Linked DNA regions of Saccharomyces cerevisiae S288C. The protein of the gene in region 2 interacts with the protein of the main gene of each other region in a biochemical or structural test. Each region holds a gene or a part of one and is shown on either strand. Other genes may lie near its edges.

Region 1 (4,811 bases), on a different chromosome or scaffold from region 2:
TTCTAATTGTAAACGACAAAGTGAATGATAAAAAGATCGCTGAACGAAAGATGATTCCAAATACTCAAAAATAGCAGCCATACAAACTGGAACTACTAAATTCAACTAAGATTAAGCGATTAAGAAGTCAGGCTCGTTTAACAACAAGCTTGGTACATCCCAGGCTGCACGAAGTCGTAACTTAAAAAAAAATAAAGAAGCGAAAAAGAGAAGATCATTTCCTTTGGCATCTATTGTTTGCGAAGCCATCGGACCGAGGCACCTTTGAAAAAAAAAAAAAGGAGCACTTTCTTCCTTTTTCTCTCACCCAGATTCTTTTAGAACACGTAGGGTACCAGACATAATTTAGAGTAGTGTGATACTTCTGGTGTAAAAATAGAACAAAATATATAAAGGGCACCACTACCAGAGGATATTCTCTGGCTACGAAAATCTTACATAGTTCTTGTGTGTTCATTATCAGGGTGCTGTTGTATTTCTTAGTGAAAATTAAGAAGAGTTAAACATGGCGATTCTTTCCATATTAGACTTTAATTTTAGCAAGGATAACGGGAATTGCCGCTGAAAACTCTGGTCCTGAATCGCCTCTCTTTAAAGACATATTTAAAGCATCCTTTAATTTTTGATTTTCTTGCAGCAACGGATACACCTCGTTAGTGCCATTATCCGGTATCACTTCGAATAATCCAAAAAAAAGCATAAGTAACCTTTGTCTTAACTCAATGTCATCAATTTGATCCGCAAATACCTGAATAGCATTTTCGATTAGTTCTTTCTTGGTTAACAGTTCCTTAGCTATCAATGGAATCGTGGTGGCAATGTTAGCAAAGATAGCAGCCACTGCTCGTTGAGACTCAACGTCGGATAACTGAAGAAGTTTCACCAATATATTAAAATTTCTCAAACTCTGAGGATTTTCCAAGTTAAAGAACTTAGCAGCAATCGTTAATGGATGACTCATCATATTACTTATGAGCTCTAATGTTGATCTTTGCAAAGGAACGTTTTCGTCTAGCATCAGATTCTCAATCGTGGACCAATATACTTTTGTAGATACGATATGCTTGCAAACTTCTTCACCATCAGAGGTCTCCGATGATGCCAAGTTCGTCAGAGCTAATAGTGCCTCGTAATTGTCTGTCAGCTTTATTTGTTCGTCGTTATGTAACGGATTGTCATCCACTGGCGTAGACCTTGGCAACAATTCGAACAAGAAGGGGATAGCGTTTAATGCAGAGTATTTTTTAAATATCAAACCCGGATTAGTGAATATTAGCATTCTTGTTAATGCCCGACACCCTAGAATCCGTATTGGCTCCCCTATGTCCTGCTTATTGGCCAAATATTCTAAGATGATAGTTGTACCACCTTGTGAAATGCATTGAGGAATGAAGTTTTTCGAGCGGGTTATGTTATATATAACCCTAACCACTTGTTGTTTACAATTGGGGCTCAAATTGTGCATTTCCCTCTTCAAAAAGGAAATCAGCTCGGTCCTTAATATGTACTTTTCGTTAAACAAAAGAATATCTTCCTTTGATTCTTTCTCTGCGCCTACCTTGTCTGCGCCTGGGCCCTTCAAATCTGCGTAATTTTTTAAGTCATTGATAGACTGTGAACTACCATTGGATTCCTCTGGTAAAGTGGACAAATTTGCCATGATAACTAAGAGACCATATAAACAGTGCGTCATTTTCTGGCTTTTAATCATAGTTAATAGAATTTCAGTAAAGCTCTCGTTACTCCTAATCATAATCTTAACCGAGGCCTTTAGACTTAAATATGCCAGCGCTTCAACGGACATTTCAACTTTAGGAACCTCCTCGAGCTTAACCGCACTTTCATTGACATTTTCAATTTTTGGCATGATACGTCTTGAAATAGCGTTTATAAAGATTTCGGACAGTTGCTTCAAGTTTATACACGTTAATTTTGTGAAAGACCATGTCTTAACTAACACCAATGCAGAATATATTTGTACATCTTCCACGTTTAGTGATCTTTCCAATAGTTGAAGGTAATTTTCTGTAATATACGTTCTCATGGTCTCATCAATACACGCGGAAGATAATAACCGCAGCAGTTCTTTTGTAAACTGTAAATCCTGCTCTTCGAATACTCTCTTCTTAAAAAGCTTACTTAGTCCTTTGGTCAAAAATATTTCAGAACAAAGTGTTGTCAATGAAGGATATAATTCTGATAGGGTTTTGACTATGATGGACAATGGATCATTTCCAACGTCTATTTCTGCCTCCACAATTAAGCTACTCATGAAATCGACCACTGCTTTATCAAAGTCTTTTTGGAAGCTTGATTGTAATTCAGCAAAAATTATAAGCATCATCGATTTTACTTCATCTTCGCTTATGCGCAAAATAAGTTCCTTCACTAAAAATCGCACCTCCTTGAAATTGTACTTGAACTTATTCAATAGTTGTAGAATTATGCTCAGTAAATACGTGACGTGGGTGTCCTCGCCATAGTGTATCCTAATTTGCAGCTCATTTAACAATGCAATTGTTGCGTCTTTATTGGAAAAGCAACCAACGAAAACGTGGATGGATGATCTTGATAATATTTCAAATAAATTGAGTGCGAAGGGAATATCATTCTGTATAAGTTTAGATAAATGTACGCGGGACTCAGAATGGTCTTGGTAAGACCTGGTCAATATTTCTTCGATTTTCTGACGATCTTTAAGGGCTTCACTATTCGTTAAATCAGCCGGCATTTTCCCAGATTCAGATTTTTGCCTTAGCTGGAAAATTGTATTTATAGCATCATTGTATTTTTGGACATCAGGGGTGGATTTCAAAGTCTTGTCAAATGCAGCGCAGAGGCTATCAATAGTAGAGCTATCGATTGGATCATTCCCTTTCTCACACAGTGGCATCGTGATTCTAATTTTTTAGTAATCTTTTCATGTGAGTAGTTTAGATAAAACGTCTTCACTATTAAGTAGAAGATTCGTAATTGGATTTAAGCCTTCGTGCCTTATCGCGGCTGATAATCATCATGATCGACGATGAACTACTGCGCCAGAGTATAATCCCCTATAAAACAGGCCTGCTATCACTCCAAAGAGAATGCTTTTATAGAAGAATATAACGTAAATTACTACAATAATTGTGTTGAGATGTCGGAAGACGAATTTTTTGGTGGTGATAATGAAGCCGTTTGGAACGGTTCCAGATTCAGTGATTCACCTGAGTTCCAAACGTTGAAAGAAGAGGTTGCTGCAGAGTTATTTGAAATAAATGGGCAAATAAGCACGCTGCAGCAGTTTACCGCGACACTTAAGTCATTTATAGATCGGGGAGATGTTAGTGCGAAAGTTGTGGAAAGAATTAATAAGAGATCTGTGGCAAAGATAGAAGAAATAGGCGGGCTCATTAAAAAGGTCAATACATCAGTGAAAAAGATGGATGCGATTGAGGAAGCTAGCCTGGATAAGACTCAAATAATAGCGAGAGAGAAACTTGTGAGGGATGTCAGTTACTCTTTTCAAGAGTTTCAAGGTATTCAGCGGCAGTTTACCCAAGTAATGAAACAAGTTAATGAAAGAGCAAAAGAATCTCTTGAAGCAAGTGAGATGGCAAATGATGCTGCTTTATTAGATGAAGAACAAAGGCAGAATAGCTCAAAAAGTACTCGAATACCAGGCAGCCAAATAGTCATTGAGAGAGACCCGATAAATAACGAAGAGTTTGCTTATCAGCAAAATCTTATCGAGCAAAGAGACCAGGAAATCAGCAATATTGAAAGAGGTATAACGGAACTGAACGAAGTTTTTAAAGATTTGGGAAGTGTTGTTCAACAGCAGGGTGTGCTAGTTGACAATATTGAAGCAAATATTTATACAACGTCAGATAACACTCAATTGGCTTCAGACGAGCTAAGGAAGGCCATGCGGTACCAAAAACGTACGAGCAGATGGAGGGTGTATTTGTTGATTGTGCTTCTCGTAATGCTTCTTTTTATTTTTCTCATTATGAAATTGTAAACCAAACCAACACACGTCGTCAAATATCATATACATAATATATACACTTAAAACAGATTCGTGTTAATGAACTTGTTTTGCACTTTCACTGTACAATGCATGGGCTCTCTCATAATATTTCTACGCCGTCGCATCTTAACCAGCCGCAAAGAGAGAGTATATTCCATAATTCAGTTTTTCGCCTTTCCTTGCCCTTCTGAAATGTTGTTAATATCATCATACCCTAATGAAGAGTGAAAATTCACTTAACCCAAGTGAAAAATACAACTTCGAAGAGTGCAACGTGTTGAAAGAACCCTTCAAAAATAGAAAAGAGGAAACGAAAAAAAGAAAAAGTAGCATGCTGTGGAAAAATTATGTTCTATCCAGTTCCCGAATAACACGTAGGCTTCATAAGTCACCTAGAAAGAGCAGCTTCTCTAAGAACTTTTTTATCACAGGCTGCCTACTGACAGTTGGAGCAGTAAGCAGTTATTTAACCTACAGGTACACAAGTGAGAGGGAAAACAAACATGAGTTATCTCCATCTTATTTTGTCAAGTACAAGATTTCACACAAGCGAGATATTGATTCATCACATTTTTTATTGGAAGTAACTCCGTTGTTTAAGCAGAAAGTTAACATATGGTCATTGATGACTGCGGAAAATCTGTGGTCCGTCGAGATCAAACAACCGGAAGTCATGGTGGTCCGCAATTATACGCCTCTACCGCTTAAATTTAACCCAGCTTCAAAAGAGATTGAAATCTTAAAAGATGGTGACAATGCAGATGGAAAATTATCTTTCTATATTAAGAAGTATGAGAAT
Region 2 (6,034 bases):
CATTGGTGCAATACATATTCTCTGATAGCCAAACTGAAATAAATCGTATCTTGACGCGCTTAAGATCTGGTGACTGTGTTGTCGGTGATACAGTGATTCATGTAGGAATTACCGACGCTCCATTTGGAGGGATCGGTACTTCAGGTTATGGTAACTATGGTGGATATTATGGATTCAATACCTTTAGTCATGAAAGAACAATTTTTAAACAACCATATTGGAATGATTTTACCCTTTTTATGAGATACCCTCCAAATAGCGCACAAAAGGAAAAGCTCGTCCGTTTTGCGATGGAAAGAAAACCTTGGTTTGACAGAAATGGCAATAACAAGTGGGGGTTACGCCAATATTTTTCATTATCTGCCGCCGTTATTTTAATTAGTACCATTTACGCTCATTGTTCTTCCTGAACGTAATGTTTAAGGTTAATTAATTATTTGATGTATAAGTAACCTTTCGTTTAAAAATTTCATATGGGCGATAATATATCAATATTTATTAATTACAATTTACTCTATTTGCTCGTATAGAGTATATACTCGCTAAATACATTTTGATTACCAATCATCTTCCTCTTCATCTTCGTTAGCCTCCTCGTCATCACTCTCTAATCTCATTTTATTGGCCCTAGCAGCAAGCGCATTCGCCAAACCATCACCCAAACTTGCTTGGGCTGCAGCTGGAATAACGTTTGCAGAGGTGTTATCATGTTGTACAGAATTCAGAACGGGTTTAGGAACATCCCTGTTTTGAGGAGGAGTAGGGATATTATTATTTCCGGAATGTGGTTTCATGTAAGCTGTTGGCACCCAACCTTCCTTAGAGCCATCCAGAAGTTTCCCGAGAGACCAACCGCTTGGTTCTTCTCTTGTAATGTAAATTACGTCTCCTTTCTTTAAAGGTAACTCAGATGGTGATCCTGAACCAGGAAAATCGTAAGCCGCTTCAAACATGGGTTCTTTTGGCTTTGAAGAGGGTGGGGGTGGAGGAGGTGGTGGAGGGATATTTGCCTGTCTACCAGAGCCCATTGCGGCAGCAGCGGGTGTAGCAGCGGGTGTAGCACGAGTGGCAGCAGTAGGGGGAGAAGGACGGGCATTACTTTGGGATGCAGTGAGAGTGGAAGCAGGATTAGGAACAGATCTTCTTGTAGCAGCTTTGTTCTGCATTCCTGGTGGTGGAGGGGCAGGCTTTTTAGAATGCCTAGAAGCCGGGGCGGTGGGAACATGCTGGGCTGCAGCAATCGAAACTGGCCTCCTCGTTGCTTGCGAGGAACTAGCATGATATCCTGAAGAGATTGAACTCTTTTTTCTCGGTTTTTTGTGCACTTGAGAATTAGGTGGGTTACCACGACGAACTGATATTGTACTGGATTTATATATGTCGCCATATTTTGGTGCAGATTCATTGATTTGACATTTCACTGAATGCAACTTTCCAGGTTTCTTTTGGTACTCTATCGCCGAGCCTATTTTAATTTGAATTTTGTCGTTAAGCCTTTTCAGATGCGTTATGAGTTCTGTTTTGAAATATGTGTTGATTAAGGGGTCAGGTTGACCTGAGCTAGCCAACTTAATGGCGACCCAATCATCCTGTAAATTGGTTAAACTAACCGCTTGAATGTTTCGCACATCGATTTTATAATCCTGAGTATAGGTCATAGCATTTTGGACCAAAGTCTGACCAACAATGTACAATGTAGTTGGAGTTAATAGGAAAGTTTTTTTCAATCTTTGTGCAGAACGGCCAAATTTTGTATGCAAGGCCTCACCATGTATGGAAAAGATGACCTTCTCTTTAATGCTCACTTGTCTTTTGATATAAGCGCCCTTCGATTTGGACTCGTTGCATGATAGATAATCACCCATGAAGGCTCTGTAACCTAATAAGGACATAGACCTTCTTTCTTTTCTTCCACCCAAAACCTTCGTACCATAATCCCGGAGCTTCTCATACTTATTACCTTCCTTCCTCTCCCTGATGGTGCGCTGGATCTTAGTGGCCGCATCAATTCTTCTTTGCAAAAATCTCCTCCAAGCACGTTGGATTCTGGCAGCCATATTGTGCCAGTATCTATCTCTCATATGCTCCAAAGCAAATAATGTTTCAGGTGTTTTGATGAAAACACTTGTGACACCCAATTGGTACTCCTGCTGTGGGATAGAGGAATCTTGCAATATATACTTAACAGCATCTAAGGTATCACCTTGCCATGTATAGTCACCAGCGTAAGAACAGTGTGGAGATAATAAATAAAATCTTTCCACGAACTTCTCAAACACTTGTCTATATGCAAAACCTGCTCTTCTGATACGCACGTTTTCTTGCAGACCTAGATACTTAATCTGGTGTAGAACTTGCCGATCGTCATAATCGTTAGGAGATTTGGTTTCGTTTGGTTTAATTGTTCTGATATATGAAGGTTGTGCTTTTGATAAAGTTTCAACCAAATCATTTGCACTCTTTATAATTTTGTCGCCTGCTGTAGGTGGCCTTCTTTTTGATTCTCTGTCTACAGTATCCGGGAAAATGGTGGCTAAAAATGTATTGGTAGTGGTACCAATTAATTCTACCAGATCCTTTTGTAATTGATCCTTATTTTTATCTGTAATACCGTCAATATCGTATGTGACATCACCGGCATAATGCTTAATAACAAACTTGTTAGATCTCAAGTCAAAATGTGGATTTGTTGTGAACAAGTTCAAACGCTGAGCAAAAGCCTGATCAGCAGCATTTGAATCCGCGTGTGCAGTTGCAACAGAATCATTCATTGCTGCAAATATACCAGGTGGTCTTCTTGCCTCAATCAAATCACACACAACCTTGTTATCAAAGTATTTAATTGGGGTCCATTGGATTTTTTCTCTCTCGTAAGTTTCTTGCTCAGATTTCAATGTCAATTGAATAAAGATTTGTTGTAACTTTTCATTAACATAATTGATACAAATCTGCTCAAAAGAGTTATGTTCAAAAATTTCAAAGCCGTAAATATCAAGAATACCAATGGATTTTTCAGCGCCTGGAAAAGCCTGCAGAGATTTGTTAACCCTACTCACAATCCAGTCAAATAAGTTATTGTAAATAGCCTTTGCCAAAGCATCTCTAACCGCATCTGCTTGGACAATATTCAATGGAACATGATACACTGACCCTCTTTTCATACCATGATTGGTTTCCATAATTCTTTCCACAAGTGATTTAATCAGCAATTGGCTATCTATTTGTAACAAGTAAGCAACAAAATCGGTTACTGAGGTGTCCCTAACTTGCGCATTCCCCTCCTCATTTTCTATAAAGGAAACATTACCAATCCAAAGAATTGCAGCTAACATCCTGAAAATTTGGTCTTGTTCTTCTTGACCGAGACCAATAACTCTCATAGCTTTTAATGTCTCTTGATAATCTTGCAAATCATCAATTGTCTCAGCAGATATGCAACCCGCAGCAGCTGTGTACACATATTGTTCCGGTTTTTGGACCCCAAATGTTTGCCTATAAGCATCGGAAGCACCTTTCGTGAACTGATAGAATATATGGAAATTTCTTTCATTCTTAATTTGACTCACAACTCTCTGCTTCTCCAATAAATAGTTTGTGATATTACCAGCACATGGTTCAAACTGGTTATTGAATTTTATTTCTAGATATTTCCCATGTCTAGAAGAGTTGTTATTTCTTAGAGTCTTTGCACAGCCAAAAGATTCCAACAATGGATTAGTGGCTAAAACCATGTCTTTAATCTTTCCAATTGACTCCGTATGTGTGCTAGAAGCAGCCGCAATATATTGCATAATTCTTTTAGCTGCTTCAGTTTTACCGGCACCTGATTCACCTGAAATAATAACACACTGATTTTCATTATATGATTTCATGTTGTAGTACATAGACTCTGCAATTGCAAATACATGGGGTGGAACTTCCAATCTATTCTTACCTTTGTATTCATTCATAACAGCATCAGTATAGATTCCGAGGTCTCGGAATGGATTGACACTAATTAACACATGACCTATATAAGTGTAGATTGTAGCATTCAAAAATCTCTTCTTCAAGTTTTCATTTATGGCTTCGTCGGAGATTTTAGAAAGAAGCGTCAGATCAGACACACCAACTTCTTTCTTCTTCGAGGAATCAAAAGTAGCTTTCTTGATATTCGCAGAGCGTTTAGCTGGCTCCTGATGTACCTTTTTTCTAGCTCCTCTTTTTAAGATAGCCATTTCTATAAAGCGGTTAAATTCGTATTGGCCACTGTTCTTATGCTTTATTATAAACTATAACCTTTAAATACATAGTCCAGTTTGTATTTTCCAAGCTTGCAATTTTTGACGGCCCCTTTTCGAGAAATATTTTTGATGATTGACAAAACGAGAAAGAAGTCGTGTCCGACGAGTTAAAACACACCATTTGAATACATATGCTACGTATCCACTTTAGATTTATCAAATACTACCAACTCACTTGAATTGAACTTATTATTCATCTATGACTTAATTTTAGCCGTCATTAGTTTTTTAGAAAAAAATATATAAAGTATATACGAAAAAAATATACATGACTACCGATTTGGTAGAATGTCATATATAAGAAGCACGATTAAATAATAATAAAGTCTGCATTTTTTACTGAAAATGCTTTTGAAATAAATGTTTTTGAAATTCAGTGCTTACCGCCTGTACGCTTATGACGTAATTCAGTCTGTTGTCTTTCAACTTCTGGGTCAAAATTTATGAACTCGTCTAGACCGCTACCACCTGCCACCATTGGCAAAACAGGAACTTTTTTATCAACTTCCACTTCAAGCAAAACTGGGCCCTTGGTAGAAACGAATTCTTTCAACTTAGCGTCCAATTCCTCTTGCTTCTTGACTCTTAAACCTTTTAAACCCATAGCCTCCGCTAGTTTTATGAAATCAGGGTTCAATTGATGTGTGTGGGAATAACGATGTTCGTAGAACAGGGATTGCCATTGAGTAACCATACCTTGCTCTTCATTGTTCAAAATCAAAATCTTCACTGGAGTACCAGCTTGAACGGCAGAACTCAATTCCGTTAGAGTCATGTTAAAGGATGCGTCACCATCAATGTCAATAACCAAAGATTCTGGCTTTGCAACTTGAGCACCGATGGCGGCAGGGAGACCGTAACCCATCGTACCTAAACCACCTGATGTGATGAAAGTATGTGGATTTCTCCATGTCCAGTGTTGAGCAGCCCACATTTGATGTTGCCCCACACCCGTTGTAACAATGACATGTCTTCCTGTGTCGTTGGCAACCTTGGATAGTTTCTTTATAACCGTCTGTGGTTTAATTTTAGATCCTGGAGTCTCCTCCATATAAGCGTATGGGTATTCCTTCTTCCATTTATTTATTTGAGCAAACCATTCAGACCTCTCCTTAACTGGGAAAATCTTTGACATCATTTTGCCCAGATTGGTCGTAGCATCACCTTCCACTGCTATTTGAGTTTGAACAACCTTGTTTATGTTTTTTGGACTAACCTCGAAATGAATAATACCACCTCTACCCTCGGCAGCTGCACGACGAGCTTCTGGAGCGAATTTAGAAATATTACCAGTGACACGGTCGTCGAATCTAGCACCAACTGCAATTATCAAGTCGGCATTTTGCACTGCCAGGTTGGCAGTAGCACAACCGTGCATACCAAGCATATCCAATGATTTTGGATCTTCTTGGTCGAATGAACCTAAACCTTGTAAAGTAGTGGTGACAGGTATTTGAGCACGGTCACTTAATTCTTTTAGTAATCTTGGACCATCTGCATGGTTTAAAATACCAGCACCGACGTATAAGACAGGTTTCTTTGCCAAGTTGATCAAATCTGCTGCTTTATTGATACTTTGCATGACAAATTCATCTTGTGCGCGACTGGTTAATTGGTTTAGTGCGTTTGATGGAAGAGTTGTTTTTGTTGGAATTGGATTTCTTAAGATAGCTGCTGTAACATCCTTTGGTAAATCGACCAAGACTGGTCCCGGTCTACCGCTCGTGGCAATTTCAAAAGCCTCGTTAATA
Region 3 (4,165 bases), on a different chromosome or scaffold from region 2:
CTCTAGCTCGTGCTGGTAAAGTTAAGTCTCAAACTCCAAAGGTTGAAAAAACTGAAAAGCCAAAGAAACCAAAGGGTCGTGCTTACAAGAGATTATTGTACACCAGAAGATTCGTTAACGTTACCTTGGTTAACGGTAAGAGAAGAATGAACCCAGGTCCATCTGTCCAATAGATACTATCTAAAATTCTATACTTTTATTGTTCTACATGTGTAATTAAACAAAAATATTATAATTAGGAAATATTTACCCTTTTTACATGGGTTTTTGATTCGAACTGCTAAAATCTAGGATTTACTATACATCATTTTCTCAAACATTTGAAACGGCCATAGGGATGGCCATCATTGTAGCCCGACTATTACCTTGATCATTCAATCACTGACCGCCTTTGAACCTATATCAAAATTTCCTCCGATTAAAGAAACTATACATAAAAAGAGCAATTACTTTGATCATTAATAGTGAGTACATAAAATTACATATTTTCTATAACAGTAGTTTCATCTTTGTTTGCATTCCATTACCAATCATCACCATTGTCCATATCGTCATGAGCTCCCACTTTAGTTTTTCTTTTGTTTAAAGCTGCTGCCAACGCATCTGCTAAAGAAGCCGGAGGTCCACCAGGTGTGCCTCCATTTCCAGCCGCTGCTGGTGGTGAAGCAGATTCTCCACGTGCTTCCTGCAGTAAAACTGAGGGCTTATCTAGCTGCGATTTGTCAACTTTTCTCAAAGCGCCTATGCCACCTGCCCCTCTAATTGAAGCTAAAAGTGCATCACGACCTGCATCTCCAGTAGTTTCAGCGAATGAACCGCCTCCGGATGTTGATGTAGCTGGCATTTGAGGAGGTGGGGGTGGAGCTGGAGCTCCTCCAGATTGAGGTTGTTGAGTTAGGAATGCTGGTGGCGGAGGTGGTGCAGCACTCGTCGTCGATGGTAACGTTGGCGGAATAGGTGCTGAGGGTGCTGACTGAGGTATCTGCGACTGGCCTAAAGATGCCGGAGGAGGTGGTGGTGCCACTGGCACATTTGTGGCTTGCGAAGGTGCTTGAGTATTCTGAGGAAGGGGAACTGCAGGTTGTCCAGTTGCTGCAGTCATTTGTGGTGTCAGGGTATTGAAAGTTGTCACTGGAGGAGGGGGTGGAGATGACATGTTGCTATTTGTCTGATATCCAAAGGGGCGGTTAGAATTATTGTACTGTTGTGGATTTTGTTGCATCGTAACGTTTGGTGTGGGGCGAGATGCTCTTGGAGGAGGTGGTGGTGCTGGCCCTCTTCTTCCAGTGGCCTGTGGAAGGAGGCTATTTCCACCGGCAGAATTCAGGGTATTACTGGTTACGTGCCTATGTGGTGGAGGCGGTGGTGCTGGCCCACGCCTTGGCGGAGGTGGAGGAGCAGGTAGGCGAACACCTGAACCTTCAGTAGTGGTACGCATTGGCGGAGGAGGTGGCACAGGCCGATTATTTCTGTTAGGCAACTGTGGAAGGGGCCTATTCTGCTGTGGTATGCCCATTGAAGGAGCTTGATTAAACTGCTGCTGAGGTACCGGAAATGGAAATGGGTTTGTTGCAGACTGTGTCGAGGGAATTTCAGGAATTGGGAATGGAAATGGATTGCTTTGGGGTTGCGAAGGCGCGTTATTTTGAGGTGGAGAGTTATGTTGTGGAGGGTCTGGTAATGGCGCAAACTGATTTGGTAAAGGCGGTAAACTATGCTTTGGATGCGTTTCTTCTTTTCTTACTTCAGGAGATGCAGGAGGAAGAGCAGGGGCTGGGGTAGTCGGTGCGGATGCTGTTGTCGAATTGATATCGGAAAATGAACTTGTTTGGTCTGAATCAAATGTTTCGGCCGTTGGCGGAGGAGGGGGAGGAGCCTTATGCTTTGTAGTTGGAATTGTGTCCACATCTTCATAATTATATCTTTTCCTTTGATTGTCAATCAATGACTCCCCTCTTGGGCCGTGCACCACTTGAGATTTTTGTTCTTCTCTTACTTTCTTGGTTAATGCTACAGCATTTTTGTTCAACAAAGTTTTCCTGTTAGCATATCTTTCACGCTTTTGAACTCTCTTTAAAAAGTGCGATGCTTCATTAATATCTACAAACAATAAACCTGCAAAGCATTCTTCCATCTCAAATGTATGAAAAAAAGTACGGTCTTGATAGTATTCAAAATTCACATACAATTCTTGGTCCCAGATAACTCCTCTATGGCCATTGATGTCAACTAATTTCAAAAAAAAAGTATTCCCCACAAGATCGTCTACTAGAGCAAGAGCTCCTGAAAGTCCAGTGTACTGCCATTCATTTTTATCAGGGTATGCAATGTATAGTCGAGCCACCGTAACATCAATAATCTTATTCGACGCTTTTGGTAGAGCCCTTTTGATAATTTCCTTATCTGAAGAGTTTAGGAGTCCCATATTAAATCACGCCTATCAACACTTAAAGTAACGAACTGTAATTTGTAGCGGAGATGGCAATCGCTACAGCACTTCCTTTTCTACTATGTATATTCTACATTCAATATTTATTATTACATATTCATGATTTTTTTTCATAGGTATTGACTGGCCCCTTTTCGGACGTCTCGCACGTATTCAATGATCATATAAACTATTTGGAAAATTCAAAAAAAAACAACTATAAGATCAGTTAAGACTTATATCATAGATCTTTTAAACCAGAGACACAATTTCAAGTACCATGGGCAACTGCTTGCATTGCATTTAGTTTTGCCTTTTTTCTAATTGCAAAAGAAGAGTATTCCAAAACCACTTCTTTGATAAATCGTCCACGTCAGCCGGCGTTACTTGAAACTAAACGCATACTTTATGAAAAAGGGCCATCAACTTGTCTTTTTGTTAACATTCATTTTGAAAATATGAACTTTGGTATAATTGAAAATCTAGCATATCTATATTTTTTGAATATATTTAGGCGATAACTTAAAAAAGCATTGTTTCAGTTCTGAAGTTTGTTGCTTGTTTCTATTCTTTACTGGATGTCTGAAACCCCAAAAAAAAAAAAAAAAAAAGGACTCCACAAGTAGCGGCTGTAAGCGCGCTAAACTCCGACAGTGTATTATATATACGTAAACGATCCTGATAGAAAAATCCAATCCATTACCCCGGGATTATTTTATTACAGAGTAGGATTTTCTGGTGTTAAGTCTAGTGAGTTATCTTCTAACTATGAGCAGTCGTGTGTGCTACCATATTAATGGTCCCTTTTTCATAATCAAATTAATTGATCCAAAACATTTGAACTCTTTAACTTTCGAGGATTTTGTATACATTGCACTATTACTGCATAAGGCAAACGATATTGATTCTGTTTTGTTTACTGTTCTACAAAGCTCAGGCAAGTATTTCTCCTCGGGAGGTAAGTTTTCAGCAGTTAACAAGCTAAACGATGGAGACGTTACAAGCGAAGTGGAGAAAGTCTCAAAGCTGGTATCTGCTATAAGCTCTCCTAACATATTTGTGGCGAACGCATTTGCAATCCATAAAAAGGTTCTGGTGTGCTGTTTGAATGGACCGGCCATCGGACTTAGCGCATCGCTAGTTGCTCTTTGTGACATTGTTTACTCGCAAAACGATTCAGTATTTCTTCTTTTTCCCTTCAGCAATCTCGGTTTTGTCGCAGAAGTGGGAACTTCTGTTACCTTAACTCAAAAACTGGGTATAAATTCTGCAAACGAACATATGATTTTCAGCACACCAGTTCTATTTAAAGAATTGATAGGAACTATTATTACAAAAAATTATCAATTGACAAATACTGAAACATTCAATGAAAAAGTTCTTCAGGACATAAAGCAGAATTTAGAAGGGCTTTATCCGAAAAGTGTACTAGGTATGAAAGAATTGTTACACAGTGAAATGAAACAGAAGCTTATCAAAGCACAAGCAATGGAGACTAACGGAACCTTGCCTTTTTGGGCAAGCGGCGAGCCATTCAAAAGATTTAAACAGCTTCAAGAGGGAAACAGGCGCCACAAGTTATAATAATATAGCATTTAGAGATAGGATTTTAACATAAAAAATCTACTACACGATCATACTTCTGCAATTGTTAAATTCCGGGTTCTTTAATACTTTAATGTTGGCGCACAATATTTTATATCTGTTGTAAAATCCGCTTACAATATAAGTGAAATT

Evidence for each region.
Region 1: the proteins of MYO5 (region 2) and SHE4 form a complex in vitro, tested with the Saccharomyces cerevisiae proteins (one study listed by BioGRID).
Region 3: the proteins of MYO5 (region 2) and LAS17 form a complex in vitro, tested with the Saccharomyces cerevisiae proteins (one study listed by BioGRID).

The regions. Positions count from the first base shown.
Region 1 is NC_001147.6:397,212-402,022, forward strand, and holds SHE4 (She4p), read right to left. Parts: upstream 2,894-4,811; coding exon 524-2,893; downstream 1-523. Other genes in the region: YOR034C-A (uncharacterized protein), read right to left, coding at 215-457; SNAP receptor PEP12, read left to right, coding at 3,137-4,003; CYC2 (oxidoreductase), read left to right, coding at 4,344-4,811. UniProt on the Saccharomyces cerevisiae protein: Required for mother cell-specific ho expression. Might be required for the transport of factors (such as ASH1) that promote HO repression from the mother cell into its bud.
Region 2 is NC_001145.3:484,770-490,803, reverse strand, and holds MYO5 (myosin 5), read right to left. Parts: upstream 4,218-6,034; coding exon 558-4,217; downstream 1-557. Other genes in the region: HFD1 (hexadecenal dehydrogenase), read left to right, coding at 1-410; ILV2 (acetolactate synthase catalytic subunit), read right to left, coding at 4,657-6,034. UniProt on the Saccharomyces cerevisiae protein: One of two redundant type-I myosins implicated in the organization of the actin cytoskeleton. Required for proper actin cytoskeleton polarization and for the internalization step in endocytosis.
Region 3 is NC_001147.6:674,199-678,363, reverse strand, and holds LAS17 (actin-binding protein LAS17), read right to left. Parts: upstream 2,426-4,165; coding exon 524-2,425; downstream 1-523. Other genes in the region: 40S ribosomal protein eS30 RPS30B, read left to right, coding at 1-173; putative dodecenoyl-CoA isomerase DCI1, read left to right, coding at 3,197-4,012.